7 linked regions of the Oryctolagus cuniculus genome follow. The protein of the gene in region 4 purifies or fractionates together with the protein of the main gene of each other region. This does not show direct contact. Links are inferred from orthologs where the notes say so. Each region holds a gene or a part of one and is shown on either strand. Other genes may lie near its edges. The genes, in order: ARPC3, ARPC1A, ARPC5, ACTR3B, ARPC2, ARPC5L and ARPC1B.

What was found.
Region 1: the proteins of ACTR3B (region 4) and ARPC3 purify together in Homo sapiens (affinity purification with mass spectrometry; 6 studies listed by BioGRID and IntAct, counting the BioPlex papers as one, with this or other methods). This does not show direct contact. The link is inferred for Oryctolagus cuniculus from reciprocal best matches to the Homo sapiens genes ACTR3B and ARPC3.
Region 2: the proteins of ACTR3B (region 4) and ARPC1A purify together in Homo sapiens (affinity purification with mass spectrometry; 5 studies listed by BioGRID and IntAct, counting the BioPlex papers as one, with this or other methods). This does not show direct contact. The link is inferred for Oryctolagus cuniculus from reciprocal best matches to the Homo sapiens genes ACTR3B and ARPC1A.
Region 3: the proteins of ACTR3B (region 4) and ARPC5 purify together in Homo sapiens (affinity purification with mass spectrometry; 5 studies listed by BioGRID and IntAct, counting the BioPlex papers as one, with this or other methods). This does not show direct contact. The link is inferred for Oryctolagus cuniculus from reciprocal best matches to the Homo sapiens genes ACTR3B and ARPC5.
Region 5: the proteins of ACTR3B (region 4) and ARPC2 purify together in Homo sapiens (affinity purification with mass spectrometry; 6 studies listed by BioGRID and IntAct, counting the BioPlex papers as one, with this or other methods). This does not show direct contact. The link is inferred for Oryctolagus cuniculus from reciprocal best matches to the Homo sapiens genes ACTR3B and ARPC2.
Region 6: the proteins of ACTR3B (region 4) and ARPC5L purify together in Homo sapiens (affinity purification with mass spectrometry; 3 studies listed by BioGRID and IntAct, counting the BioPlex papers as one, with this or other methods). This does not show direct contact. The link is inferred for Oryctolagus cuniculus from reciprocal best matches to the Homo sapiens genes ACTR3B and ARPC5L.
Region 7: the proteins of ACTR3B (region 4) and ARPC1B purify together in Homo sapiens (affinity purification with mass spectrometry; 5 studies listed by BioGRID and IntAct, counting the BioPlex papers as one, with this or other methods). This does not show direct contact. The link is inferred for Oryctolagus cuniculus from reciprocal best matches to the Homo sapiens genes ACTR3B and ARPC1B.

What each region holds. Positions count from the first base shown.
Region 1 is NC_091452.1:8,116,111-8,120,251, forward strand, and holds the start of ARPC3 (actin-related protein 2/3 complex subunit 3), read right to left. Parts: upstream 2,858-4,141; 5' UTR 2,648-2,857; coding exon 2,642-2,647; intron 1-2,641. UniProt on the Homo sapiens protein: Component of the Arp2/3 complex, a multiprotein complex that mediates actin polymerization upon stimulation by nucleation-promoting factor (NPF).
Region 2 is NC_091450.1:41,600,018-41,602,640, reverse strand, and holds the end of ARPC1A (actin-related protein 2/3 complex subunit 1A), read right to left. Parts: intron 2,057-2,623; coding exon 1,966-2,056; intron 885-1,965; exon of another isoform or gene 883-884; coding exon 844-882; 3' UTR 507-843; downstream 1-506. UniProt on the Homo sapiens protein: Probably functions as a component of the Arp2/3 complex which is involved in regulation of actin polymerization and together with an activating nucleation-promoting factor (NPF) mediates the formation of branched actin networks.
Region 3 is NC_091444.1:1,522,895-1,527,262, reverse strand, and holds the start of ARPC5 (actin-related protein 2/3 complex subunit 5), read left to right. Parts: upstream 1-1,514; 5' UTR 1,515-1,615; coding exon 1,616-1,758; intron 1,759-2,709; coding exon 2,710-2,791; intron 2,792-4,368. UniProt on the Homo sapiens protein: Component of the Arp2/3 complex, a multiprotein complex that mediates actin polymerization upon stimulation by nucleation-promoting factor (NPF).
Region 4 is NC_091438.1:21,155,791-21,160,092, reverse strand, and holds the start of ACTR3B (actin-related protein 3B), read left to right. Parts: upstream 1-1,481; 5' UTR 1,482-1,595; coding exon 1,596-1,639; intron 1,640-4,302. UniProt on the Homo sapiens protein: Plays a role in the organization of the actin cytoskeleton.
Region 5 is NC_091434.1:21,132,596-21,136,647, forward strand, and holds the start of ARPC2 (actin-related protein 2/3 complex subunit 2), read right to left. Parts: upstream 2,816-4,052; 5' UTR 2,633-2,815; intron 2,416-2,632; 5' UTR 2,408-2,415; coding exon 2,334-2,407; intron 2,327-2,333; exon of another isoform or gene 985-2,326; intron 871-984; exon of another isoform or gene 88-870; intron 1-87. UniProt on the Homo sapiens protein: Actin-binding component of the Arp2/3 complex, a multiprotein complex that mediates actin polymerization upon stimulation by nucleation-promoting factor (NPF).
Region 6 is NC_091432.1:228,720,600-228,724,904, reverse strand, and holds the start of ARPC5L (actin-related protein 2/3 complex subunit 5-like protein), read right to left. Parts: upstream 2,860-4,305; coding exon 2,711-2,859; intron 1-2,710. UniProt on the Homo sapiens protein: May function as component of the Arp2/3 complex which is involved in regulation of actin polymerization and together with an activating nucleation-promoting factor (NPF) mediates the formation of branched actin networks.
Region 7 is NC_091450.1:41,604,647-41,608,963, reverse strand, and holds the start of ARPC1B (actin-related protein 2/3 complex subunit 1B), read right to left. Parts: upstream 2,817-4,317; 5' UTR 2,684-2,816; intron 1-2,683. UniProt on the Homo sapiens protein: Component of the Arp2/3 complex, a multiprotein complex that mediates actin polymerization upon stimulation by nucleation-promoting factor (NPF).

The sequences.
Region 1 (4,141 bases), on a different chromosome or scaffold from region 4:
CACATCCCCCCAGAACAACAAAAAATGAGTCATCTGCCCAAGATGAGGTAGGGTGGGGAGAAGCAGGGCTGGCAACAGTGATGTGCTGGGGCCGGCTGCTTCCGGCTCAAGCAAGTCAATCACTAGGGGCAGGCATTCAGTCTGGAAGTTAGGATATCCGCGGCCCACAGCACAACGCCAAGTTTGACTCCCAGCCCCTGATGCCAGCTTTCTTGCCAATGCAGACCCTGGGAGGCAGTGGTGATGGCTCAAGTGATCGGGTCGCTGCCAGCCATGTGGGAGACCAGGCCTGTGTTCCTGTGCCCAGGCGTTAGCCACAGCAAAGCCCTGGCCATCGTGGGCAGATGGGAGTGCTGTGTGTGTCTCTTTATCTCTCAAACAGAAGAAAACCAACTTAATGGTGCAAGCTGGTTATTAAACAGTCATTCCCAAACATTTAAACCCGTTTGTGGTGCAGTGGGTTAAGCTGCTGACTGCAGTGCTGGCATCCCACGTGGGCACCGGTTTGAGTCCCAGCTGCTCCACTTCCAATGCAGCTCCCTCCGATGCTCACGGAGTTCCAAGCTCCTGGCTTCGGCCATGAACCAGGGGATGGAGATCTGTTTGTCTCTGTCACTTACTCTCTTTCTGTAACTTTCCCTTTCTTTTTTTTTTTTTTTTTTGACAGGTAGAGTTATAGACAGTGAGAGAGACAGACAGAAAGGTCTTCTTTCTGTTGGTTCACTCCCCAAATGGCCACTATGGCCGGCACCACGCTGATCCGAAGCCAGGAGCCAGGTGCTTCTGGTCTCCCATGGGGTGCAGGGGCCCAAGCACTTGGTCCATCCTCCACTGCCCCCCCCCGCCCCGGGCCACAACAGAAAACTGGACTGGAAGAGGAACAACCAGGACTAGAACCTGGCGCCCATATGGGATGCCGGCGCCACAGGTGGAAGATTAATCAAGTGAGCCACGGTGCCGGCCCCCGTTACTCTTCCTTTCAAATAAATAAAAACTTTAAATTATATAACCTTACAATTATATTTATTAAAAAAACAAAGGTATATGTTCTCATCATCTCCTAATTTTCAAATTACATTTACCACTGTCTATGTTCTTAAGGCTCTATCTGTGTTACGTTTATGGTAGAAATACAAATACTGCAACACTGTGACACTGTGCATCTCTCCTGTTCCATGGTTAGTGACAGCACAGGGGTGGTGGGTGGGAGTATTTCCACACGGACATAAGCAAACACCATCTAAATCAGGGGTAGCTACCCCCAGCTGCATTTAAACCAGAACCCAAGCTCCAGCTTTTCAGATCTGCTCTCTCCTGGGTTTATGTCTTTCACCAAGACACCACTTTTTTCTCTCAGCCTGTTTCCAAATTTGCAAAATGAGACATATTCTGCCTCCTGTGGGTCAGTGAGTTAAGAGACAGAGAAAAGTCACATTTATGAGAACGGTTTGTATGCCGATTCCTGGTTCTGCTTTTTACAAGACGGCTGGCTTTCTGTAAGACAACACGGGCCCCAACCATGTGTTCACTGGTTCACCAGCCACGCGCACATGTAGCAGGGTGCTATGGCAACACACCAGAACACGGTCCTTGGGATTAAAGAATTCCCAGGCTAATGGATCCAGATAAAATGAGCAATCACAGGGTAAGTCCAGGGCGCTCTATGGGCAACTGGACTGCACACAGGGCTTCAGAGTCCACGGCCGGGGCCCTGCAGGAGCTGCTAACTTCTCTGTGACAGAAACAATGGTATCTGCCTTGCAGGGTCAGTGACGAGGGGCACACGGGAGCGTCTACACAGCGTGTGGCTCGGCTCCGCCTAGCAGTCCCCAGGAGTCAATGCTACCTATGCGATTCGTGAAACATTATCTATGACAACAGCCGGTTCTTTTCCCGGACAGGTATGCGTTATCTGGAGCAGCAACGGTCTCGATCCACCTGCTTCACGGCGTTTGTCACCACCTGAAAATACTCCTTTCACTCATGGGCACCTGAGTGCTGGCCTTGGCGGCTGCCACAGCCATCAGCTTGCAGGTATCCCACGCGCCGCAGGGCCACCGTGCTCCTACCCCGCAACCGGGGGCCCACACACAACCGCACGGCCTGTTTCCACCCCCACTCTGATGCTTCCATCTGGAAACCAGCTGCGGACCCTGGGTCGGCTCCGAGGGCCCCAGGCCCCCTGGCCCCGGCGGGGGTGGCAGGGAGGAGTGGAGGAAGCGGGGTCAGGCGGGGTCGGGCGGGGACACGCCCCCTGCGGCGGAGGAGGAAGTGGGCTTGACTGGGTGCGGGGGCGAAGGAGAAGCTGGACCCTGAAACATGAAAAGCACAGCCCTGGGTTCGGGGCTCGAAAAAGCCTCTGGGTACCCTGCCCGCGTCCGGGAGCGGAGGGGCGAGGGGGCGCCGCCACCGGGGACTACCGGGCAGGACGCGCCGCGGCGGCTTCCTCCCGCGTCGGGGCCGTGGCCCACTCCTGCCCCGCAGTCGACCCCGGCGGACAGCAGCCCCAGGCCCCCCAGACCTCAGGGACCAACCCCTCCCTTCGCCAGCCGCCCGCTTCCGGCCTGCCCTGCCAGGCACGCATCTCCCGTCGCACGCACGACTTCCCGCTGTCTCCCGCACACTCTGGGCTCACACTTACCGGCATCTTGGCAGCCCCGGGGTTTCAACCGAGAGGTGCAGGTCCGGGTTAGAGCGCGGCGCTTCCGGTGTGGGAACCAGGGCGCGGTAGGCGGAAGTGAGCCGGAAGGGGCGGGCAAAGGCAGAACAAGGAACTTCCGGCCTCCCAATCCCTCCGCAGGTGGCCGTGGCTGCGCGCTCCTGAAGAGGCGCTAGAGGGCGCCCGAGCACTAGGCAGCGGATCTGCGTGTCGCGCATGCGTGGATCTTGGTAACAGAATTTGATAGTCGCATCCTTTGTTTTTCCTTAAAGCTCATCTTTCCAGTGGAGCATTCCCTGATCACACTCCACCTCCCGGCCTCTCTCGCTTTTCCCTTAGTTCTTAGGATCCCCTTACTTTTGGTACAGAAAGGGAGGGTTTTTTGCTCGGCTCACTGCTGTATCCCCTGCGCCTACAGTCAGGGTATGCAGCAAGCCTCCAAGGACTGTGTCTCCAAGGACTGTGTCGAGCGAATGAATGAAGCCAAATCACGGCTTTTTTTTTTTTTTTTACAGGCAGAGTGGACACTGAGACAGAGAGAAAGGTCTTCCTTTGCCGTTGGTTCACCCTCCAATGGCTGCTACAGTCGGCGCACCGCGCTGATCCGATGGCAGGAGCCAGGTACTTCTCCTGGTCTCCCATGGGGTGCAGGGCCCAAGCACTTGGGCCATCCTCCACTGCACTCCCGGGCCACAGTAGAGAGCTGGCCTGGAAGAGGTGCAACCGGGACAGAATCCGGCGCCACGACCGGGACTAGAACCCGGTGTGCCGGTGCCGCATGGTGGAGGATTAGCCTAGTGAGCCGCGGCGCGGGCCAAAATCATGGCTTTTACAAATGGGGGACCCGGACACAGGAGAGAAGGGATTTGCATGTCACTCTGCACTGCGATTCTTCGCGCAGCGGCTGAAGAAGTGGACAGTGGGTTTTGGTCCTGTTTCCAACATCTGCGATCTGTGCGATTTCCACTTGCAAACGGAGGCAGCAGTACTTACCGTGTAAGCTCTGGGAGGATGCAAGGAGCCGAAAGCGCTGAGTGTACAAGCCGGGAGCGTACGGACAGCTCGGGTTTGTCTCACCCATTCATGGGAAAAGCCCATTTCTCCTGCCAGTGTCCCACACTGAAGAACCCTGCCCCGCGGCCCGACGTGATTTCTCCACTGAGGAGAGGCCAAGCACCCCTTAGTCACTCTCCATTTCACTCGGTTTTCTTCCTGTCCCTCAGCACAAGTTTCATTGTTCCTGGTCTCACCCACCAGGCCATCAGCCCTGAGCCGCCTCTTTCTACCCCCGGGGCCTGGCACCCACAAACCGCTGTACGTTTGTGCGAAGTCACATCAGGCTCACCGGGAGGCGGTGAAACCCCAGGACTGAACTGTCGGGTTCATCTTCGCAGCTCAGTGGGCAGAGGGTGAGGCAGCGGAATGTGGCCCTTCCCAGCGTGCCCACAGCACATACCAGATTCTAGAAGCTAAACGAAGGGC
Region 2 (2,623 bases), on a different chromosome or scaffold from region 4:
CACCAAGAGGGCAAAGTGAGCCGCTTCCGAGAGCAGGCAGCCCGCCCGCGCGCCGGCCCCGCCGCCCTGGTCACCCGTGCAGGGAGGCGGCGGCAGGGCCGCGCTCACGAGCGCCCGGTGCATGTCCTTCGCTCTTCATGTATGCTGTGCCTCTTAAGACTCGGCCTTGGGGGCCACACACGAGAGCTGAGGACGACGAGCCCGGTCAGTCTGGGCCCCACAACCTCTGAACCCCTCGGCGGCTCCTCCCTCCCACTCGCACACTCCAGAGCCCCATGCCGGCCGGGCGCTCTGGGCCACGGGCTGCCCTGTTACTCAGACGCCACGGGCACGGCCCCCGGGGACCTCCCCTCCCGGTCCATGGTTCTCTGGTCACAGGCTGTCTAGGACGGGCAGTTTAAGAGGCTGACATCTAAGACTTCAGCCTATAAATGAACATTCACTCTGATGAAGAACCTCACCCTGTTCACCAGATTTTCCTACTAAAAATGCAAACAAAAACCGAACACATTGAGGATTTTTATTTACTTTTCTAGTGGACAATTTACATACCCCCCTCACCCTTTCCTTTAAGTTAGTGGACAATCTTCCATAATAAACTACTTAAAGAGAAGCTTTGGTCAAGAATGGAATGAAATCGCAAAAAAAAAAAAAAAAAAAAAAAAGAAAGAAAGAAAGAAAGAAAAAAAAACACTGCTGCTTTAAAAAACCGACACTTTCACCAATTACAGTCAGACACTCGCGGGGTCTGCGCGCTGTGTCTCCTCGGGGCTGGCTTTCCTCACCATCATGCTAATGGCAGAGCCGCAGCGGTCATGCTGGATGGCGGAGGCTCGCGCAGCTTCACATTATCCGGAGGCCCTGGATGGACGACTCCAAGGTCTGCAGAGAGGCAGGAAGGGGCCGGTCACTCCCCGCGGCTGAGCCCCTCCCCGCCTCCGCCCTGCAGAGCCGCGCCAGCGGGGCTCTCCCTTGGCCTTCCCAGCCCATAGGGCCGGCCTAGCTCCCCGTCCTGTGTCACTGGCCTTTGTGGACGAGGGCCCCTGGCTGCATGCCCTGCCTCTTCACCACACTAAATGCCCGAACGGCAGCCAGCTGGGTACAGCCCGCACGTGCATTAAGGGGAGAAATGCTCCATGGCTCCTGGCCCACATGGGTCAGAGGGAACAGGCGAGCTGGTTGGGGGCTGGGTGCCAACTGCCCAGGTGGTGCCAACCGCCCAGGAGCGGAGGAAGGGGAGGAGGTGCTGCCCGCTCTTCGTCTGAAGGCTCCGAGCCTGGGCTAGACGGGGATGGGGTCCATCACCGTGGAAGGCGCAGCCAGTGGTAAAACTGTGTCGGTGTGCATCTGTTTCGGAGGTTCACGACCGGAAGGAGTTAAATCCCGAGCCAACCTTTCTCTTGCCCTGGCTCTTCCTCCTGGTTCCCTCTTTCGCCCACCAGGTGCAGTCCCAGTGAGAAAGGGCGGAGTCCAGATTTGCCCCTGACTGTCACTGGGCCCTCCTCTTGGGCCCTCTAGAACCTCCCGGCCGCGGCCCTGTGCCGGAGCGCCCGTCCTCAGCGCTGCAGTCCGGGGCCCTCGCCTGCGGCCTGCTCTTCCTCCTGGGGTTCCGAGGAGTCGCAGCCCTCTGCACACACGGCCTCGCCTGGCTCCTCCCTCCAGCTCCTGTGCCTCCATAGGGCCCAGGCCAGGGCGGTGCCGGGAGCGCCCTGTATGCTCTGAGCCTGCTCACATCAGTTTACTCTCCAAGTCCCGCCCTCCCGACACCTCCCTCCAGCAGAAACAGGGGTGCCGGCCTCTGCGGAGCTCTGACTCTTCCCTCCACCGCTCCCTGACCTGACAAGACCCTCAGGGGCTCCTCCTTCTCCATCTTGACAATGTTGGACAACATTTCAAGAACTAAGAAACATTATTCTATAGGAAGAGTCTGAACACAAACAGATTCGTTCCGAAAGGCAGAAATACCTTGAAATCCCAAATTGTCATGGCTCCATCGATGCCAGTTGTGCAAAATTTGCGACAGTCTTGCTTGTCCACCTCATAAATAGACACTTGACTGAAAGGAAAGCAAAGCAAATGAGATTGCCGGCACGTGGTGGAAGTGAGCCTGGCCTTCCTCACCGTGTACGGGCAATGTAAGGGAATGGGCTGCTTTTAACTCCTGGATATGCTCTTTAAAGGTTTACACATCCAAAAGGCTGAGAAGGAAAGCACACACACACACACACACACACACACACACAAGTCAGCTTGGCCATGTCAAAGCCAGGAGCCAGGAACTCCATCCGGGTCCCCCAAATGGGTGGCAGTGCTTGGGCCACTCTCCACTGTTACCAGGAAGCCGGATCCAAAGCAGAGCAGCCAGGCCTGAACCAGCGCTCTGATAGGAGATGCCGCGTTGCACGCTGCAGCTTAACCCACACCACAACCCTGGCCCAGTTCACTCCTAAATATTCACTTGCCCATCAGTATGAGGCTGTGGAAATCTAACTCCGAAAAGACCCAAACCATCTTACTACCAGGTGAGAGTCCAGATGAGAGTGGCTGGGCGAGGCCGGGAGATCTGGCCCCCAGGACAGGTGAACGCTGGCAAGCAGGCTGTGGGCAGGCCACAGTGTGGATG
Region 3 (4,368 bases), on a different chromosome or scaffold from region 4:
GAGCCCACGATCGGCAAACAATTCCAGAGGCCGCCCTACATCCCCCCGGCTGCTCCTCAGGCCGACGTGCACCCAACACGGCCCCAGTCTCCAAGGATTACCTAAGCGAGACCCCCTGGAGGGACAGGCGCGCAGGACGCGGGAGGCCCCGGCTCCGCCATCTTCCCTGCCATTTCCACCCGGCAGCGCCTCCCAGGTTCAGTTTCCTCTTGCGGAAAATCTTGATGAAAAAGAAAAAAGTACAGTCAGCTTGGGCATCTGAAGAAGCACTGCCTATGCCTGCGCTAAAGTCAGCAGGAAACACCAAAATACACCGTTCTTACATAACGCCAGTCGCCGCAGCAACAAGGCCAGCAGGTGGCCCGCAGTGCCCACTGTGTCACCTGGGTAGCCGGTGACAGCCCTGGGGGGAAAAGGCCAGCTGGCCGACTCCTCACTCAAACGCCACCCCCCTCCCATTCCCCAGCTTTCTTGCGCGCAGAACTTGGCCAAGTCCGTGGGAATAGGAAAACACTGATTTTACTGCAAGGAGGCTTTGAAGCCCACGCGCGGGTCTCCTGTCACACGCAGCCTCCGTGAGCTGTGTGCGGGACTCTGGCTAGGCGTGGATCTCAGGCTACTGCCCCGCACCGCTGCCCAGGAGCTCTGCGAGGGGCCGAGAGTACCCGCGTAGGTCTCCCCCGGCCTCTGCGCCCCTCTCTCTCCCCGCGCTGCCCGCCGCACCACGCACGCGCTGGGCACCTTCTGCGTGCGGGCTCCGCGTGGGGGGGGGGGGGGCGCGAGGCCGGCGTCACGGGTAACACGCGTTTTCCACACGCGTGGCGCGTCTGCTCCAGGAGGCATCGGGTAATGAGTGGGAGGGCCCGGCCGCGAGACGGGAGGCGCACACGCAGGGCGCGCTCCGCCCTCCGAGGTCCCGAAACGCGCCCCAAAAACACGAGTGGCGGGGCCGGGTCCCCTCAGCGCCGGGAGCCCACGCGCCCCCGCCCCGAACGCCCGCACCGCGAGCCCCGCAGGCTCACCCCCGGCTCTGCCGCCCAGCCCGGCCCCTGCCCCGCCGCCGACCGACGGAGGCCGAGTGGGTCGGGGTCCGCTCGCGGGGCGGCCGCGCGTGCGGCTCAGTCCGGGGACCCCGCGGGCCGCGCGGCGACTGCAGCCCGGGGAGCGGCCCCGGCGGCGTCCGGGAGGCGCGGGAGGATGCGGGCGCCCGGACACGCATCCCTCCGCCCCTCGGTCCTGCCGACAAGAGGGCCGCAGCGCGCCCGGCCCTCACGCGGGGCCGCGGAGACAGCTGACTGGAAAGCCCCGGCTACCCCGCCGCCGCCCACCTGAGACCCGTTAGGCTGGACCGCAGGCCCGCGTTTCTAAGGGAACCCGCGTCACGTGACGCGCGCGAGCGCCCAATCGCGTCTCGCCACCGCCCGCCGCGCCCCGCCCCGCGGCGGAGAGTCGCGCCTGCGCGCCGAGGGGGCGGGCGCCGGCCTCGCGCATGCGCGGAGCCCCCGAGCCGCGCGGCCGGCCACGCCCCGGGGCGGAAGCGGGAAGTGAGTCGGCAGCGGCGGCTCGCAGCGGTCGGGGGGGCGCCGCGGAGGCTCGAGGGCGGCGGGCGGCGGCGATGTCGAAGAACACGGTGTCGTCGGCGCGGTTCCGGAAGGTGGACGTGGATGAGTACGACGAGAACAAGTTCGTGGACGAGGAAGACGGCGGCGACGGCCAGGCGGGGCCGGACGAGGGCGAGGTGGACTCGTGCCTGCGGCAATATCCTTGCGGCGGGGGTGTGCGTGGGTGTGCGTGGAGCCCCGGGAGTGCGCGGAGCCGGCAGGCGGACGCCGAGCCCCCGGGAGTGCGTGGAGTCTCTGGGAGTGCGCGGAGCCCCGGGAGTAGGTGGAGCCCCGGGAGTGCGTGGAGCCCCGGGAGTGCGGGCCGGGCGTTCGCGGGAAGCCGCTGTCCGGCGGTGCCTGCTGCCCTGGGCGTGTCTGAGCAGCTGTGACCGGGTCCGCGTTTGCACCGGATCCGTGGGGGACACGGGGGCGCTGGCAGGAGCCGCCGCGGCGCCCGCGTGCTCGGGCTGTCCGCGCCCCGCGGCGGTGCGTGGGGACCGCTCGGGCCCGCGTCCTGCCGTGGCGGCCGTGTGAGGGCCTGGGGCTGTGCAGCCTGGACCCCGCGGCGCCGTGGGCCCGCTGGGTGGGCCCCGGAAGCCAGAGGCCGGCTGCAGCGATGGCGAGGGAGGGGCGGCGGCCGGGGCTTCTCCTTTTAGGGGAATGGCTGTGCCTGCCGCCGGCCTGATTGGCCCGCTTCCTTGCCTGCTCCCTGCTCCCTGGCGCCTTCGCGGACTGCTAGGTGTGGCCTCCAGGAAATGGAGCCGTCCACCGTCCACCCGAGAGCCGGGGCGTCGCCGCGCAGCGAGGCCGAGGTGTGTCTTTGTGCGCCCACGTAGCGCCGCGGGAGATGGCGGCTTCCCGGAGACCTGAGGGCGTGGGATCCTGACGTGCGTTTCGGGTCTCGGCACCTCTGCAGTCTGCCGAAGGTGTCCCGTGAGGGCAGCGTTACCAGGCGATCTCTGATGGTGCGAACCAAAAATAGCCCCCCAGTGCGCTGTTACCTTTGGTCGGCACCCCGAGGGCGTTTCTGAGTCCCGAGAAGCACCGGTCCCAGGGGCTGGCCGCTGCCCTCGGCTGCCCCCGGCTGCCCCCGCTGTTGCCCCTTAACCGCCAGCACAGGGAACATGACAGCCGCCCTGCAGGCGGCGCTGAAGAACCCTCCCATCAACACCAGGAGCCAGGCGGTGAAGGTGAGTGCCACCCACCCGGCCACACAACCGGCCGGCCAGCTGGGGACCGTCCGACACAGGAGGGCTCAGGGCGCGCTTTGATGGGGCTGGAAACGGCGGCCAGCCCAGCAGCCCGCTGCTCCACTTCCGTCCAGCCCCCTGCTGAGGGCCCAGCGCAGAGGGTGGCCCCAGGGCTTGGGCCCCTGCTCCCACACGGGAGACCAGGGAGAAGCTCCGGCTTCAGATGGGTCCAGCTGCGGCTCTTGCCGCCATTCGGGGAGGGAGCCAGCGGGTGGAAGATCTCTCTCCCTCTCTCCCTGCCTTTCAAACAAATAGACCTTTTTAAAAAAAGAAAAAGAAGATTTAAGAAAACAGCACCCTGGCCGACTTCGGAGAACGCGTGTTCTGGACGCGGGAAGTTCTGCGTGGGGGGGGGGAACCATTCCTGTGGCGTTCAGAGGGCCCTCGGGCTGGATCTAGGCAAAGGCTTTGAGACAAAAAACTGGCACAAAAACGAACAGGTTCCATAGGCCAGGCGCGGCACTTAGCTGTCAACGTCCAGGCCCTGGCTCCTGCTGACGGTCACCCTAGGAGGCCGCTGATGGCCACAGCGCCTGGCTTTGTCCCACCCCAGTGCCAGCAGATGGGACTTCTCTCTGTGCCCCTCTCTCCGTCTCTCTCTTGCTTAGTTATATGAATATTCAGCAGAAGCCAGGCAGTGGTAAAAGTGACTACCTTCTGGGGCTACCCTATGTTCATAGGATTTTTCTGTGAGTGTTTTTTCGAGGAGAAGCTTTATAGCTTCGCTCCTCTGTGTAGCGATGGACGTGAGTGTTTTCCTTAGCAGCAGGTTTGTTTCTGTAGCGTTGACCAGCTCTGCGCTGCAGAACCTACGCACCTAGTCTCCTCTTGTCACATACCTGGATGGAGTGGCTCTTCCCTGGTGAAGTTCCCAGCTGAGCACATTCTCGTGGCTGATCCTTGGAATGGACTCCAGAGTGAATTGCTGGCTGCAGCCGTGTCCCTTTGCGTCTTCCGTCCCCTGCAGCCGTGTTTCACTAAATAAGAACCGGTCTCTCGGGTGCTTAGTGGTTAGAACCAAGTCCAGCGCATCACCCCCAGGGCGGTGGCTACTCAGAGCCTCAGGAGTCTCCCTAATTAAATGAAAGTTGGCAGGAACAGGTAGATGCATGTGAATTGTCGAGGCGACGGTTTTTTTAAGGGGAAGCGTTGCTTTGGGTTTAGAAGTTGCCGGGAGCATTACTGAAATTTCCGTTTCGACACCTTCTGCTTTCGTGTGGGTGGTTTCATCACGGCCTGGGGGCGGCAGCTTGTAGCTGATGAAGATGGCTGTGTGAGTGGGGCAGCTGCACGGGCCGAGCTGCAGGGAGCAGTAGGCGGGAGAAACGTCCTGTAAGAACCCGGACGCGAGGCGGCCCCAGGGGCCGCTTTGTGTGACAGGGGAGGCGGGCGCTCCTTAGGAGTCCCTGTGTGTGACGGGAGGAGGTGACCTTAGATGTGCTGTGTGTGACAGGGGAGGTGACCTTAGATGTGCTGTGTGTGACAGGGGAGGAGGTGACCTTAGATGTGCTGTGTGT
Region 4 (4,302 bases):
GGGCCATCTTCTACTGCTTTCCCAGGCCATAGCAGAGAGCTGGATTGGAAGTGGAGTGGCTGGGACTCGAACCGGTGGCCATGTGGGATGCCGGCACTGCAGGCAACGGCTTTACCTGCTACGCCACAGCATCGGCCCTTCTTCTTCTTTTTTTAATATAAAGATTTATTTATTTATTTGAAAGGCAGAGTTATAGGGAGAGGGAGAGACAGAGAAATTTTCTATCCAATGGTTCACTTCCCAAATGGCTGCAATGGCCAGGGCTGGCCAGACCAAATCTAGGTGCCAGGAGCTTCTAGGTCTCCCACGTGGATGTAAGGGCCCAAGGACTTGGGTCATCTTCCACTGCTTTCCCAGGAGCATTAGCAGGGAGCTGGATTGGAGTGGAGCAGTCAGGACCCCAACTGGTGTCCAAATGGGATGCTGGTATCACAGGTGGTGGCTTTACCCTCTACACCACAGTGCCACCCTTATTCTTTTCTTCTCCCCTCCCCTCTCCTCCTTCTCTCTCCCCTCCTCTCTCCTGCCTTCCCCTCTTCTCCACTCCTCTTCTCTTCTCTTCTCCTGAACATTTTTTACATCTGGGCTTTATTTAACTCAAACATGTAAGAAAAAAAATGATAATGGTTAAACTGGAATTATCAACACATCTACTGTTTTCCTAGAGAAAAAAAAGTTATGAAACACGTGTCTTTCTAGAAAACTCCCTAAAAATTAATGCTAAGAATTTATAATAGGACAAGAAGTTGGCAGCAGTGGGACATTTGGTACCTTTATAGCATGGTGGGTAGGTTTTGCCTTCTTCAGTCTCTGATTTCCCTAAGAAGTTTTGGATAATGATCTTGTCTTTGATACTTGAAAGTAGTTTCCAGTAATACTAAAGGTACGGTATTATCTCAGTCTGAGGTCATTCATTCCTTAAGGTTAGCCATGCATTTGTCTTCCAGATTTTTCTTCTTAGAATAAATTGTGCAGTGCTCTGCCAGATATGATAATTGTAATATTTTTTCTCTATATGGTGAAAATTATTCACTCATTCACTTGGGTGTTTTCCATGTTTGCACTCAATACTGTGTTATGCATCCATCAACAATAGTCAGACTGGAACCCTTTCCCAGCACAGCCTACTGGCCAGTGGAAAGATAGATTACAAATAAATAAATATTAAAAAAATTTGCTTCCAAGAATGAGATGGTAGAGACAGAGACTAAAGTGTGGGGAGGGGACCTAGTTTGGGTGATCGGGGACAACTTCCCTGAGAAGGTGACAATTTAGCTGAGACTTAAAGGATGAGCAAGGAGTCATGCCTTGGAAACAGGGTCACGTTAACCGCAGGTCAGTTAAAAATAACCCCCAGCCTCTCCAGCCTGAAGGTTGGACGTATGGGCTTAAAAGCTTCGCTGCCAGCACCAAAGATGGCGAGTGAAGGGGGCGGGGCTCGCGCGTTCCGATTGGCTAGTCCGGGGGTGGCGTCACGTGGCGGCCACGGAGCATCCGGGCTCCCGGCGGCGGCGCTGCGGAGGCTCGCTGGAGAGGCGGCACGCAGGTGAGCTGGCAGCGGTGCGGCCGGCGCCTGAGCGCCGCGCGTCCAGACCATGGCGGGCTCCCTGCCTCCCTGCGTGGTGGACTGTGGCACCGGGTAAGACCCGCTCGGCGTCTACCCCCGCTCCTCCGCGGACCCGCTCCCGGCCCCGGGCACCTTGCCCTCACCTGGTGGTCGAGTTGCGCTCGCCGCTCCGGAACTCAGGGACCCATGACTGGGCACTGACAGTGGGGTCACTGCCTCCGGGGTCTCCGCGCGGCCCCCGCCGCTCCCATCAGGCTTAGCCCTGATGCTGTGATGTCCCTTTTGGGAAGGGCCACGAGAAGAAGGTGACTGAGGGGGAGGGACGTAGTGTCCAGTCCGTGTGCCCACTTCTCCTGGCCTGTCCCCTTCTCACGTGGCCCGGCGGGAGGGTGCCCTGGGCGCGCAGCCCCGCGCCGGCCTCCGGGATGGACACCCTGTCGGGAATCCGAGGTCAGCCGCATCTCACCTTGCTGGAGTGCCTCTGGGGCACCCATCACTGCGGGTGTGTTTTTTTTTAACGTCACTTACCTGCCGGCTAACGTTGCCCCTGCCCTCTGATGTTTGCTGGCCTTGGTTCTGTGCCCTCAGGCGCGTGTCATTTCTCCTGGCCCATGCTTTTTGCCGCCTACTTGTGGAGATATTTACATTGATCTGCCAACTCCGACAGCCTGTGTAATGCCCACTCTGCTCTTTTCCAGGGTGAAAGGGCACACTCAGTATAACGTCTTGCTTTTAGTTTTGCGGAGACTTGCCTTTTTGTTTACACAAGATGTTTGAAAAGACTCCATTTTGGAAAAGCAGTGTAGATTTGGGAAAACCTGTTTGTGGTATAGGTTGGTCTTTTAGGGATGTGATGGCTTCTTGGGGTGTCAAGCTATTTAGAACGGACTTCAGGGAATGTCTTGTATTTCCAGTCGCTGATTTTCAGCGAGATGATTGCTGATAGTTTGGGAATACAAGCTTGCTTGCTTGCATTGTGGGTTTAGTACTTAATAGCCCGGACATAAATGTAGCCTCTGAAAGATTTTTTTTTTTTTTTTTTTTTTTTGAGAAGAGAGTTTAATCGTTTTGCCACAGAATATTTCATGGCTCAGTCTCCCTACCCTTGATTCTGTTGTGTAGAAAGATGCACTTGGTTTGGTTTCCCTGACAACCTTGTGGGGGTGTCGTCTTTAATTTGCTACAGTCCATCTCCTACTGATAGTTCTTTGCCTTTGCTGCTCAAGCCACCAGTGGTGGTTCCGGGCCAGGGAAAAATTGTGGCCTTTTTGTTTGTGCCAGTTTTTCTTTTTGAAATATTGTACTAGAAGTTTTTTGGCTTTTTAGTTTTTAGAAATTGCTTTAATACTCAAAACACAAGCCAGAATCAGTATTATGTTACAGTTCTCCCTCCAGTTGTTGAGGACCTAACTCTTCTCCTCCCTCCAGTTTCATTGTTCACCCTGCGCCCCTCTGGCCTGGCTGTGTTATGGGTGAAGGCAACATGTAGAAGTATTTTCCAATGTCACATTTGCATGTGAGGCTTTTGCTTTTGTATTTTTGGTCTGGCAAAAGCTATTGAAATAACGAAGCATTTCTTGTTTTGTAGCAGTCAAATAATGCTCACAGAGTTTGTCATACCTTTGACGTTAGTAAGCTGGGGGCCTTACTCATTCTTGCTATAAATATCTGAAATGTGCTCAGTTTAGATCTTTTGAGGTAGGTGATAAATGTAACTGCTCACTGGGACATTGGGCCTCAATAGATCTTTGTTTTGTGACACATGCTTCAGTTGTTGTAGGCTTTGGTGTTGAGACCTAGAAACTGTGTTAGGGAGTCTTCCCAGTGGGTTTCCCATGGACATAATTCTGTCATGGAAACTGCTGCAGTTAGCAGGCATGAATAGCCCATGTCTATTGTGTGGCCAGGAGCAGCCTGGATGCCCCTAACGTTACCTACTTTAATGTATTAGTAGTTCTTACATTTCCCCGACAGCTAAATTGGGTTTTGGATTGACTTTTGCCTCAAAATAGGACAAAAAGCAGTGCAATGGCAGATAAAAATAACCAAAACCAAGGGAAAGAATGGGCCTGGGAAATCACCCCAGACTGTAGACCATTGGTTGCTGTAGTTGGTCATCATCTGGCATGGGTTTTTCTATCTGATAATATCACAAAAGAACCATTGTTATGTAATTCCCGTCATCAGGAAGGAAGAGAAGTACCTGTTTCTCATTTGAAAAGGTTTTTTTAGTACTAAATGCTAAAAGAAAAATTTGACATTGAATGATACATAGTGGGCACTAATGATTTAGTGGATAGTGCTCTGAACAATGTCTATTAGAATGTTTTGTGCTAAACAGTGTTCTAAGTAATGATAACAGGGTACTGAATAACAGTGTATTAAACAGTGTCCTAAGTAATGATAACAGTGTACTGAATAACAGTGTATTAAACAGTGTTTCATCCTGGTAACCTCAAGTTTCTGATAAACCGACCAGCTGGGTGAAAGCCCGAGTGCCGGGGGCCGGTATAATACAGAAAAAGGGATGTGATATATCCAAAAATAAAGGTTCATCTATTTAAAGGAATGACTAGGCGGCATAGTTTTCAGTTTCCCACAAGTCCAGCATCACTTCTCTTAACTGTACTTCTTTAATGAAGACTTTTGCATTTTAAAATTTATTTTGAAGTACTTTCAAATATATTGAAAACTGAAAGAGAACAAAAAATGATTGTGCTTTTCTAGTTTCACCT
Region 5 (4,052 bases), on a different chromosome or scaffold from region 4:
AAAAACAGGTGGAACAGACCTCTTTCAGCAGGTTCCCACAATGGCAAAGCCTTTTAAATCCCCCACGGCTCTCCTCCAAGCTATTACCTTTCTTTAATGTCTGCACCTCTTAGCTCTGTTGCTAATGTGCTCTCTTAGAAAGACCTCCCGCCGCATCAGTTGCTGCCTGGTGCTGAGCGCTGGTAGAATCCCATGTGTTCATGATGGTCGCCCCCGCCACCCTGGGCTGAGCTCGTGGGCAGCACCCTGACAAACACAGCTTCGTTGCTGCCTCCTCTTACGGGTGCCTGGGAACACACTCTGCTGCACCGTGTTCTGCTGGCGTTGTACTTGCAACCCCAGGAATGCCCGACCTCCTAGGCATGAGTATCACAGAGTATCTCGGCCTCTTTTCAAAAGATTCAACGAAACTTTCCACAGAATGGTCTGGGCTCTTGTATTGAAAGCCAGATCTCAAAGGGGAGATGGGCTGGAATAAAAGCCAACCCCAACCCTTGCCCCCATACAACCTCACCACCAATGTCTGTCTATTAAAAAAGTCCTGCAAGCTCTAATCTATGCCTTCCAAATTGAGGGCCATTTTAATCCCTCTGAAATGATTAACTGCTATTTTGAAAATAATTATAAGAAAGAACTGAAGTTCTGAATGGGCCACACATTTTGGAATCACAGGTTATTAATACACAAATAGATGTGAAAGTACTCTTACACTAAAAGGCATGTTTCTACTTGCAGACACACAGCCATTTATCTTGCAGATCAGCTCATAACCACCCAGGTCTCATTCCTGGCCAGTCTGGACTTGAGAATGCATTGAGATCAGTTGTGAAAATGCAGAAGTGAAGTCAACTTCCTCCTATGTGCAGTGCACTGCTCAGAAAAAGCACAGAGCAATCACCCAAAATGAGATCCCGGACTGAGTCACTTGAGTATTTAAAATGCAAAGAACTGGTAAGAGGGGCTGAGAGTAAGAACTGAGTTAACCTGAAATATCAGCAACTGCAGGCAGGCCCTGGCAGGAAACCGTTCAGCTCACTGTATGCACTGCTTCCAAGGAAAGTAGTTCGTGTTCTTACAAAAAAGAGATGGGAACCACAATCCATTCAATTTAAGCAGTGAGCCAGTACTCAAAAAACAAACAAAAAAAAAAACAAAAAACAAACAAACAAAAAACCTCCCAAGTCACAAGTTCATTATGACCACTTAAATTTCCCTTCCACCAATCCTGTCCCATCTGTGGCTCTCCAAGCATTTACTTTCCTATTACTGGTTCCCAGTTCACCAAAAAGAGTTTGTACTTATTTCCTCAACTGTGCAACCAAGATGTGAAGCCCCATCGTCCCGGATGCGGAAATGAGGCAAAGGGACTGACCACAGGCCACCAAAAATTCGAAGCTAGAATTCAAGTCCTTGGCTCATGTTTTAAAGGTGCTCTGGGGGAGGCGGCTGATCGTCTTCCACTGATTCTGCTCTCTGACAGTGAAGGCTGCCTTGGAAATCAAAGCCCGTCTTTCACAGACAACGGTAAAAAAGAGGTTATCTAAGAACTTCATAGATTCTGGAAGCAGTGAAGTGTGTAACCGGCCAAGGATTGCCACAGAAGAAATCACAGCCCAGGGGTCTTGTATGAGAATTTAAAAGGCCAACAGGCAGATAAAGGCTGCGGGGTGTGCGGGGTGCAGGCTGCAGAGAGAGCCCGACACTCTTGGAAGAGATAAGGAAAGGGTGTGGGTGCAGGACTATTAGCTGTGCTTGAGACATGTGTAACAGAACGGCCCCTGTCGCTCGCAGGAGGGTTCGGGAAGGGAAGCTAGGGAGATGGCTGCAAGGCTGGGTCTGCTTTCCGTCCCCCCTCGGGCTCCCTTTAGGGGTGGGGGCGGGATGGAGAACGCCGGTGGCGATCTAGGCTTGCATCTTCTTCCCTCCTCCAGTCCTGGGAATTCCTGAAAACTCCTTCCAGCCCAGTCGCAAACCGGCTCTCTCCGGGTTCAGAACAATGACGGGGACACGGAGGGCAGTGGGCTCCTCGGGCTCCAGTTCCGGCCCGAGCTGCCCTCACGTCCCACAGGTCCCCTGGCCCTCGGCACGCACACTCCGGTCCACTCGCAGCTTCCGCATCCCTCCTCCGAGCCTCACCCCACGCATCCCTGCCCCTCACCCGCCGCGCCCAATCGCCTCCCACGTCTCTCCGCCGGGGCAGCCCCTACACACTGCCAGGCCTCCCAACTCCCTCCGCCAGGCCCGGGGGGGAAGCTGGACAGCACCGGGGACTAGCGGGGGTCAACTCTGCCTTCCACGCCGCCCCAAACCCCAGCCCCGGGGCGCGCGCTCACCCGGCGGCCGCGTTCTCGAACTTGAGAGCGAGCGTCTCCTCGATGATGCGGTTGTTCACCTCCAGCAGGATCATGGCGGCGGCTGCCCCGGACAGGGGAAGGAGAAACAAGGGCGGGTCAGGGTGGGTAAAGGAGGAAAGGACGCAGGGAGCGGCCCTGTGCCCCCTGAGAAGGGGGGCTGGGTGGGGTAGGTGACGGGAGAAGGGGAGAGGGGAGAGGGGCCGGGGTGGAGAGAAGGGGAGGACGCGCGCCGGCCCGCGCACGCACGGACTGTGGAGACACCCACCCACCCGACAGACCTGGCCCCAGAAGCCTCAACCCGCCTGCCGAGCCGCCGCCGCCACCGCTGCCGCCTCACCGACAAGCCCGGTCCCCGCCCAGCCCCCGGCTCTAGCCGGCCACTTCCGCTCTCACACCCACTTCCGCTCGCCGCCCGGACGCGCGGCCCCGCGGCGCCATTTCCGCTCCGGCTCCCTCGTGCACGCGCACGCAGGCGCGCCCGGGGTGGGGCGAGGCGGTCACACTTGCGCATGCGCAAGGCCTCCTACCGCTTTACTTTCCCACTGAAGCGCCCCACCCCCGCCCCATCAAGTCTCCGCGAGCCACCGAGCGGTCCTTCCCGGAACTTGCCTCCCGCTTGTCCCAGAGTTCCAAATCCACTCTTCCGGTTCTGTCATGTCAGGGGTCCTGCAAGAAGCTCGCTCTTATCTCGCGGCAGGATTCTTTGCTGTCGGCCTGTGCGTCGTGGAGGCTCCTCCTCATTCCAGACGGGTGGCAGTCCGTCGCACCATCGTGCGTTCATTTCCCCAACAGATGGTGGGCTCTTGTCCTGAGCCGCGAATGCGGAAGTGAACACGGTAGACAGGGTCCTGCCCTCGTGGAGCTTATACTGTGGTAAAGGAAACACAATGAACAAATGATCAGTTATGTTGTTTAAAGGCACCGAAGGAAAGGGATGCATAGTCACCTCGGTTAACAGGCAGTTCAGATGGGCCTCCCTGGACCCCTGTGCTGCCTCCATTTCCGTGCCAGGGGCTGCCCCTGGATGCGCAGAACATAATTTTCTCTGCCTCCAACCCTCACCTTTCAGTGCCCCCGCGGGAGACATAGCTCCTACTCATCTGCCTGCGGAATCTGAACTGATCCTTACACCACGTCTGCACCTTCTGCCTGTGTGCCTTGATTTGCATTTGTCCTCCTCCAGAGGAAGTGTAACAAGCTTAGTTGAGTCCCTTCTACATCAATGGTTTTTTTCAGTTATGTGCTGGTGCGGGGTGGGGTGAGTGGGGTGGGGTAGGGACGGGACTGGATCCAAAAAATGAGCAAAGATCCAGCCTTTATCGTCAAGGGGTAGACAGCTTTTAAAAATAGATTTCTTTTTACAGATTTGTTTATTAATTTGAAAGACAGTTTGAGAGAGAGAGATTTTCCATCTGCTTGTTCACTCCCCAAATGGCCACAACAGCGAGGGCTGGGCCAGGCTGAAGCCAGGTGCCAGGAGCTTCATCTGGGTCTCCCACGAGGGTGCAGGGGTCCAAGGACTTGGGCCATCTTCTGCTTTTTCCCCAGGAACATTAGCAGGGAGCTGGATGGACAGCGGAGCAGATGGGACTTGAACCAGTGCCCGTATGGGATACTGGTGTCTCAAACTGTGGCTTTACCCTCTTCTCACTATACCACAATGCTGGTCTCTAAAAATAGATTTTTTTTACGTACAGG
Region 6 (4,305 bases), on a different chromosome or scaffold from region 4:
GGAGCCACTCTGCCCCGCCCAAACCTCAGTGGCAATCCTGATACCACATTCTTTGCCAATACCCAGCATGCAAAAGAAAATGACAATCTGGGTTAAGTCCCCAAAGGCGACACCTATTTTAAACCGAGTTACATCATGTGAAACACTGGCTTCAGCCACAAGCTTCAGAAATAGCACCAGGCCCGACCAGGTGTCTGCTGCGCCGTGCGGCGAGGCCCCCTGAGAACGGAGCCCCCAGACAGGGCTGGGCCTCCTGCGCCCCGCTGCCTTCAGACTGGGCGGCGACCCAGCCCCTGCACTTCAGCTCTGCAGTCCCCCCCCAGCCTAACCAGGGTCCCTAGGCCAGCAGCGCTGATGAGCTCTGCCCCTCTTCTCTAACCTGGGGTCCCGGGCTGACAGGAACACAGGCCCGCATGCTTTTCACTGAAGCCTGCCCTCCTGGCAAACCCAATCGTCCGGAGACGGTAGGCAAAGGCCGGTCGGGGGAGAGGGGTGGGCGGGGGCCTGTTAGCACCCTCAGTGGCACCAGGCTGTCGAGGGAAGGCCTGCAGCAGCCGGGAGCAGCAGGGAGGGCGCCCCTGGGAAGCTGGTGTCTGCACCCCGCAGGCTTGAGGCCCTCTCAGAGAACCAAACCACTGCTCTCAACAGGCGGCCCAGGAAGAAAGGGAACTGATACTCCGCGGACCCGCCAGGGGCTTTCGCACGGCGGCTCATCCCGGGGAAAACCCCTCCCAGCAAGGCTATTCTGGTTTCAAAGGCCATGAAGCTGCTGGAGGGTGGCGAGGTCCAGCCGTCCAGCTCGCCTCCAGACCCAAGCGCTTCCCACAATCCCTCGCTGCCGCTCAGGTCCAGGTCGTGTGCTGAGCACCCAGCAGGCTGCCTTCCATGAACAGGCGGCAGCAGAGGCTGGCAGGTGTGTGCCTGTGCGAGGTCACACAGCCGCAGCGGCGCGGAACTGGTCTGTGTGCACGCACAGCCGTGGTCCTCCACCTCTCCTGGGCGCCTCCCACCATCACATTTCCTGTACAGCCCTAGGACGGGCAGCCCCTTCCCCCCAGTCAAGTAACCTCTCCCTCTGCAACCCTCCCCTCTGCCCCAGCGCTGTGGCACAGCAGGTGAGGCCACTGCGTGCTCCAGCTCTCTGCTGTGCCTGGGAAAGCAGAAGAAGATGGCCCGAGTGCTTGGGCCCCTGCTCCCACGTGGGAGACCCAGCTGAAGCTCCTGGCTCCTGGCTCCGGACCAGGCCAGCTCTGGCCATTGCAGCCATTTGGGAGTGAACCAGCGGAAAAAAAAACATCTACTGCCTTCAAATGAATGAATGAATACTTACAAAGAAAGAAAGAAACTCTACAGCTTACATCCAGCTATCTAAAGTCCAATACTTGGTACAGGGTAGGACTCAATAAACATTAGCTCTTTCCTCCCGCCAGCTGGGCCCCAGGATTTCAGTCCTCACTCGCTCACCTCCCGCTCCCTGACCCCTGACCCCAGAGGCACACCCTCCAGGAGCAGCGGACCCTAGGCCTCCAAGCAGCCCGAGGAACCCAAACCAGGCAGGGGCCGAGCGAGAGGCGCCCTTCAGCAAGTCCCTGCACAGCAAGGTCGGCGTCAGCTGCCCAGGCCTTGGGCTCGCGCGCTGCGGCCGGCGGCCCCGCCGCCAGCAGGCCCTCCCGGGGGCCCCTCCCCGGCCCCACTGCCCCAGCAGGGTGAGCCAGGCAGGAAATACAGGTTGGAGCCTCCACCTTTGGAACCCATTCTAGTTCAAACAGAGGGCTGGAGCGCAGAACTCCTCCCGAAGGCAGTGGGGCCTCCAAGCTGAGTCAACTGACTCAACGCGGGGCATCTGACCTCCACCCGGCGGCGGCAGCCTCCAGCCCCGGCCCGGCAGGGGCGGGGGAGGGGCACGCACTTCCTCTGCCACCGTCTGCACAGGCAAATCCCGCCCGCCCCAGCGAGCCGGTTTCCCGTGCTCGGACTGCGGCGGGCCCAGGCAGGCTGCGCCAATCACCTCTATTTTTAATCTTCCCTAGCCGCCTGCTTTCTGCGGCCACGGACAGCCTTGTCCAGCCCTGGGCCTCCTTGCACCTCGCATGCGCCGTGCGCTGCTTCTCAGCTCGACACCAGCCGCTCTTGCCCCTGCGGACCGGCAAATTCCCTCGGGAAGCGCGGCCGGGAGCGTGCAGGTGCAGGGCCCAAGGCGCTCCGAGGAAATGGGAACGGGTGCGCAAGGCTGGCGTGCAGAGGGGCCGGCCGACTCGGGAGCAGGAGCGCACGGCCTCGGACCCCAGGCCGCCCCGGGCTGCAGCCCTCATTCCCCGCTGGGTCTGCCCAGCCTCCCCGCCCTCCGCCGCCTACTCACAAGGTGTGCGGGCAACCGGGGAGGCCCAGGCCCCGACGGCCCCTGCAGCCGCCCGATCTCCCGCAAGAGCCGGAGGGAGCGATGGGGGGCGAGGGGCCTGGGCCCGAGGCGCGGTCGCCGTAGCTTTGGGGCCGCCGAGAGCTGTGCCCCAAGGCCCAGGGCTGAGCTGCTGCGGTGCGGCCCGGCGCAGAGGGGAGCCGGGTCGGAAGGGAGACAGACTGACCGGCCGGGACCGACAGGAAGGGCAGCGGGAGCCCGAGCCCGGCATGAGGGAACTGGAGCGGCCGCACCAGAGAGGAGCCCAGGCCGCAGCGCGCGCGGAGGCCGGACCGCCCCGCCGGGGAAGGATATTGCCGCAGGAGCCCGTCCACCTCGCTAGGGTCCGGGCCTGGCTCTCCCGCCGCCGCCGCCGCCTCCTCCTGCTCGTCCACGAATTTGTTCTCGTCGAACTCGTCGATATCCACCCGGCGGAAGCGCGAAGACAGGGTGTTCCGGGCCATGGTGGGAGCTCGGCGTCGCTCAGCCGGCTCCGCTCCCGGACCGACCTCGGCTCCGCTCCGCTCGGCACCGGCTCCGGCTCGGGGGTGGGAAGCGGCCGCCGGGCACCGCCTCCACCTCCTCCGCGCGCAGCCGCCGGCCCGCCCACTTCCGGTCTGCGCCGGAACCGGAAGTGCGCAAAGGAGGGCGCGGCCTAGGGGAGTGGAGGCGTGCCGGCGCGGCGGTGTCACGGATGGTCTCCTCGTGCCTCGTCGGCTCTGTCTGCACGTCTCGGGGTGTGGATGCCTCGTGCCCGCGCAGGCTTAACGCCGTGTGCGCCATAGCTGCGCTCGCTCTCTGGTTCTTCTCTCTCCGAGGAGCTCCTTCCCAGGGAAGGGCGCCGCGGAGTCCAGGGGTCATCACTCCCCGGACGGAGCGCGCGCGGCTCTGCTGGGAGGGGGCCTCGAACGCACTGCACTGAGCCAGAGCAGGTGACCCCGTTATGAAGCAGAGCGCGTCCAGGGGTTGACGACTCTGGAGCCCTTTTGATTTGAGGGTGCGGCGACTTCGTGCCGCCAGGAGGAGATGGCCCTGGGGCTACCGTCGTTGGCCGGAGGGCCGGGACGTGGGCCCTGCGCGCCGGGAGCGGCATTCCCAGAGTCTGAGCTGGGGGGCTGGGCGGCAGGGCAGCGGCAGGGTCGGGTTCCAGCCTGGGCTGCTGCCGGAGAGATTCTGTTAACTGACTTCAGCCTTAGGCTAAAGTTCGTGTTTCACATATGATTTGTTGAATACTTCTCATTCAACTGTGTCTGCAGATAAAAATGCTGCCGGGGCCGCTGGTGTTGGGCCTAGCCGGCAGGAAGCCTGCATCCCATATTGGAGTCATCCCTTATTGGAGCCTGAGTCCCGGCTCTGCCCCCACTTTCAGCTTCCGGCTGTGTGCACCCTGGGAGGCAGCCGGCCCCTGCCACCCACCTGGGAGCCCCGAGTGAGTTCCTGGCTGCAGGCTTGGGCCTTGCTGGCGTGTGGGGAGTGAACCGGGGCATGTCCTCTCTTTTTTCTCGTCCGTGGCAGGCAAAGCCCTCTTGCATTTCAACTCTATACTTGGGAAGTTTTCTGACTCAGGAAGGCCGCGTGACAGCAGAAGTTTGTATCCGCAGACTATCCTGATAAGGGACTTGAGGGGCCGGCGTGGTGTAGTGGGGGAAGCCGACATCCCACACGGGCACTGGTTCATGTCCTGGCTGCTCCACTTCCGATCCAGCTGCCTGCTACCGTCCCTGGGAAAACAGCAGGGATGGCCCAAATGCTTAGGCCCTGCACACACACTGAAGCCCCTGGTTGTGGCGTGGCCCAGCCCTGGCTGTTGCAGCCATTTGGGGAGTGAACCAGCAGATGGAAGATCTGTCTCCCTCTCTGTAACTCTGCCTTTCAAATAAATAAATTTATTTATTTGAAAGGCAGAGTTA
Region 7 (4,317 bases), on a different chromosome or scaffold from region 4:
CAGCCCAGCAGGCTGCTGGGTACCCTGGGCCGGGCAATGGCTGCTCACAAAGGGGACAGGGCACAGGGGAGGGGTGACCATGCTCGCCCGCCCCACCCCCACTGCCAAGGTCACCACCCCGGGCAGAAGCAGGCCAAGGCCGGAAGCCCACCTGCAACACTGTGACATCCGGCCAGGGCCCGGAGGAGGCTAACCCTCCCCCATCCCACCCCAGCCCGCAACCACAGCCCAGGAAGCAGGAACTGGGGGGCTGGTGGAGCCCAGACTCGGGGGGCAGATCCCAGTGTCAGGGCCTCGGCTCTCACACACGCCGTGTGCCCCAGGCCGTGAGGACGGAGCACAGCCGCAGGTCCCCGTGGGGGATGCAGCCGAGAGGACTTGGGGAGCACTGTCCCCCAATTCCTGGCACACACAGGTTCTCAGTGGGGGCAGGAGGTTCAGGGGGAGCCTATGTGCCAATCACACTGCGGCAGGAACTGAAACAGAACCCACCCCTTAAATGGGCAGGGCAGAGACAAGGGGGTGGCAGAGAGGAACGGTCCACTTCCCCATGTGGGTGGCTCCCGCGGGGGCTCAGCGATGACGCCCCGGCTGCAGCTTGGACTAAGGAGGAAGTGGGAGTCAGAGGGCTGAGCGGGGGCTCCAGACAGACCTGGGAAGCAGCCCCCAAGCCCCGCCACTCTGCCCACGACTCACTCCTTCTCAAGAAGTCCCCTAAGCCTAGGACACGGCACAGGGGCCGGGTGGGGCAGGCCCGCCCGCTGCCAGCCCCCTACTGCAAGAATGCAGCTGGGGCTGTGCCCACGGCATCAGCACTCAGCCGTGGCGCCGTGGGAGGCAAAGGCTGGTGGTGGCCGTGGCCCCCAGGACTCCCAGCCACACATCACCATGGCCTCCTTGGCTGCTGAACTAGAGGGGGGGGGCTCTTTCAAGGCTGTGCCCACCCCAGCCCCCAGAGGCCAAGTGCAACCAGCGGGGGGCAGGGCCAGGGGCCCAGTCCCTGACACACTCCCCCACTGGCTCCCGCAGAGCCTCACCATCCCGCACTCCCAGGAGCGCAGCCCACGCAGCCCACGCCCAGCAAGGGACCCAGGGATGGCGTGGGGGCGGAGCAGGGAGGCCAGAGCTCTCCGCAGCAGGGGCCGGGGCGGGCGGGCTTGGGTCTGCAGGGTGGGGCCAGGGCTTCCGTCCAGGAGTGCCAGAATGGGGGGACACAGCTTAGCTCACAGGGCAGGGGCTGGTGGGGTATTCCTGGTGGGGCAACCCCCCCCCCCCCCGGCGAGGGGAGCTTCTCCAGAAATGACGGGGGAAGGGGTGGCCGGCCAGGGCCCCCGCGGGCAGCCCCTCCTCGCCTGGCTTTGCGCTCAGCCCAGAGACTCTAGGCTGCATCCCAGGCCAAACCAAGCAGGCGCTCCGGGAAGTCCCCGCCCAGCGGAGTGCTCAGAGCCACTGCGCTCCGCGCTAGGCGGTTGCTCAACTCCGTGCAGCAGCCCCCCGGGGGCTCCTCCCCTCCTCGGCTCTAGAATCCTTACAAGCGAAGGCAGAGTCCAGGGACACGGGACGGTCACACAACAGTCACAAGACACCGTAACGCACCAGCGCGCGTCACCCACCCAGAGCTAAGACACACGGAACACCCAGTGCTGGCGCGGCTGTACAGAAAGCATCGCTGGACACGGGCAGCACCCCGCTCACCCGCACCCACTCGGGCGCGGCCTTCTGCACACGGGGTCACCCTGAGCGTCACGGGGGACAAGGCCACGGTGCGCTGTGATGTGACCGGGCGAGGAGCGCAACTCTCGGAACAGACCCCTGGCCACACGACCAAGCCCACTGCCCTCCCCAGCCCGGCCAGCGGTACACAGCCCCGGGCTAGCCCGACCCGTTCTCCCTCTGCTTAGCCACAGGAGGAAACAGACTGAGACCGCAGCTTGGGAATGGCACAGCTGAGGGCGCCAGCTCCAAACCCCAGCGGTCAGGAGGTCAGGGCCACCTGGGCAGACTCACTGGCCACCCTGGGCCGGCTTTACACCGGCCACAATAGCACCCATTTGTTGTCCGCCTGTGCCCGGCCCGTCGCCAGCTGTCTTATGAGACCTCGTAAGGTGCCCATTTTCCAGATGGGGCATGTTGAGGCTCGCCAAGCCTAGGTCAGCGGTCCGTAAAGCGGACATTTTTACCCAGTGTCTCTGAGACTTAAAAAGCCACGGGTGCGCCTGACTTCCGGGAGCCGTGGCTTCCGCGGCCACTGCCCCCGGGTGCGCCCCTCCAGCAAGGGAGGCGCCGCACGGCTCCGGGCGCCCCGCAGCTCAGAGCGGCGCAGCCTGGGACCCCGCAGCCTGGGACCCCGCGGGCGGGGCGGGTGCGGCTGGGCGTGGGCGCCAGCTCATTTCCCGGCCGCCGCAACCCGGAAGGCTCGGGGGAAGTGACTGGGCAGGGGGCCCGCCGGCCCCAAGTAACGGGGCCACCGCGGCGGCGGCGAGGCCGGGCCGGAGGGGGCGCGCGGCGGGGCGGCGCACGCGGGCCGGAGCCCCCCCCCCCCGAGCGCTCCCGGGGCGCACAGCCGGCTCAGCGCGCCCCTCGCCCACCGCCGCCCGCGCCCCGCACCTCCGGGCCCCCTCCGCCCCCGCGCGCCCCACCTGCGGGCGGCCCCCGCGCCCCCGCCCCAGCCCGAGCCCCTCACCTCGGGGCGCCGCGGCCGCGGACTCTGGGCAGTCGACGCGCCGAGCCGGCTCTGCGCCCCGCGCCGCGCCGCAGCCACTTCCTCGTGGGCGGGGGGCGGGGCCTCGGGGCCGAGCCCCAGGGCCGGGGGCGGGGACCCGGGGCGACGGCGGTCGCGGGAGGCGAGGGCCCGCCCAGCCCTCGGGGTAGAGGGGCGGACGTCGGCGCCCGGCGCGCCCGGCGCAGCTCCGGAAGGGGAAACTGAGGCTGGGGGCGAGGGGCGACTGCCCCCACCTGCCAGGGCAGGAGGACCCCCACAGACTCGGTCCCCGGCCGCGGGCGCCGCCCCTTCGCGGGTGTAGACGGCGCCGGTGCCGCCCTCCCGGGGCAAGGCGGGGGAGGCCCAGGGGCGGGGGGACCGCGCTCCCCGGCGCCGGCTCGGGCCGCTCCAGCCCCCGGTCAGCGGGGCGGCAGGGCTCCGCGCTGCAGGGTGTGGCCGTGCCCCTCGGGCCACTCAGCCCCGGGCACGCTGCGTTCCACGCGTCCGCGGGGCTGGGAGGACTCGCCGTGTCCGAGCGCGTGGGGGCGCCCGGGCTTTCCAGGAGGGCCATTGCTCCCGGCGCGGAGCGGGGGTCCTTAGCCGGGGCCCCCAGCTCGCTGCTCCCGCAGGTTTGTTCAAACAAGGGCTGCTCATCCCACGTTGTCCCCCGCCTCCTTCCTGGACCTGGGACCTGGGACCTGGGACCTGGGACGACCCCATCCAAGCCCGGCCCCCGGCTGCGGGAATCCCACAGAAAACAGGTCAGCCTGAGCCCAGCCCGCAGCCCAGGCTCAGGTCCGCTTCCCGGGTGACCTGCTTTGCTTTAAAGCTGGCTTGAGGGCTGTTTGTTTTTCCTCTGCTGCCCATCCTCAAAAGCCCACCTCCTACTTAGGAACATGGACCTCAGGGTGTCTGGCGCCTGGCATGCGGGAGTGTGCGGGGATGAGCGACTGGGCAGTCGATCCTGGTCCTGCCACTGCAGCCGTGCCCATTTCCACGTCCCTAAGGTGAGGCCGAGGGGCCTGGGGACGGGACACGGACCTCACACTGGGGAGCCCTGGGCCGCATCCCCTCAGCACCCCCCTCCCCCAGGTTAGCGGAGCCTGGGGACCGGAGAGAGAGCTGCTGCTTCCTGGAACCGGCTTCCGCGGGATGGCTGCGGTGGAGACGCCCCGCCCCCTTGCTCAGGTTTCAGGGCTGGCTGAGCTGCAGCCGGGCGGCCTCCTCCTGGTCACGGGACGACGATGGCCAGGTTGCCGGCAGGCAAGCAGGGCAGGGCGCTGGCCCAAGCAGCAGGAAGCCAGGCGGGAAGGCTGCTTGGCACAATCTCCCTTGCGTCTCCGTGGCCATAAGAGGGACGTGTGTCCATCCTCGCATGGGAGCTGTGGGTGCCCGTCTCCGAGATCAGAGGAGTCCCCCCGGTAACTGTTGGTGGGGGCAGAGGGGGCACTGCTGGTCCTCCAGAGATTCAGGTATCCGAGGAGCCCCTGATAGTGACTGTCAGTGGCAGGGGAGGGGGACACCGTCGGTCCTCCCTCCCAAGACCACCTTCAGTTCATCTGAGTCAGGTGTCCAGGGAAACCCCACAAGCGGTCAGAGTCCCCTCCCATGGGTTC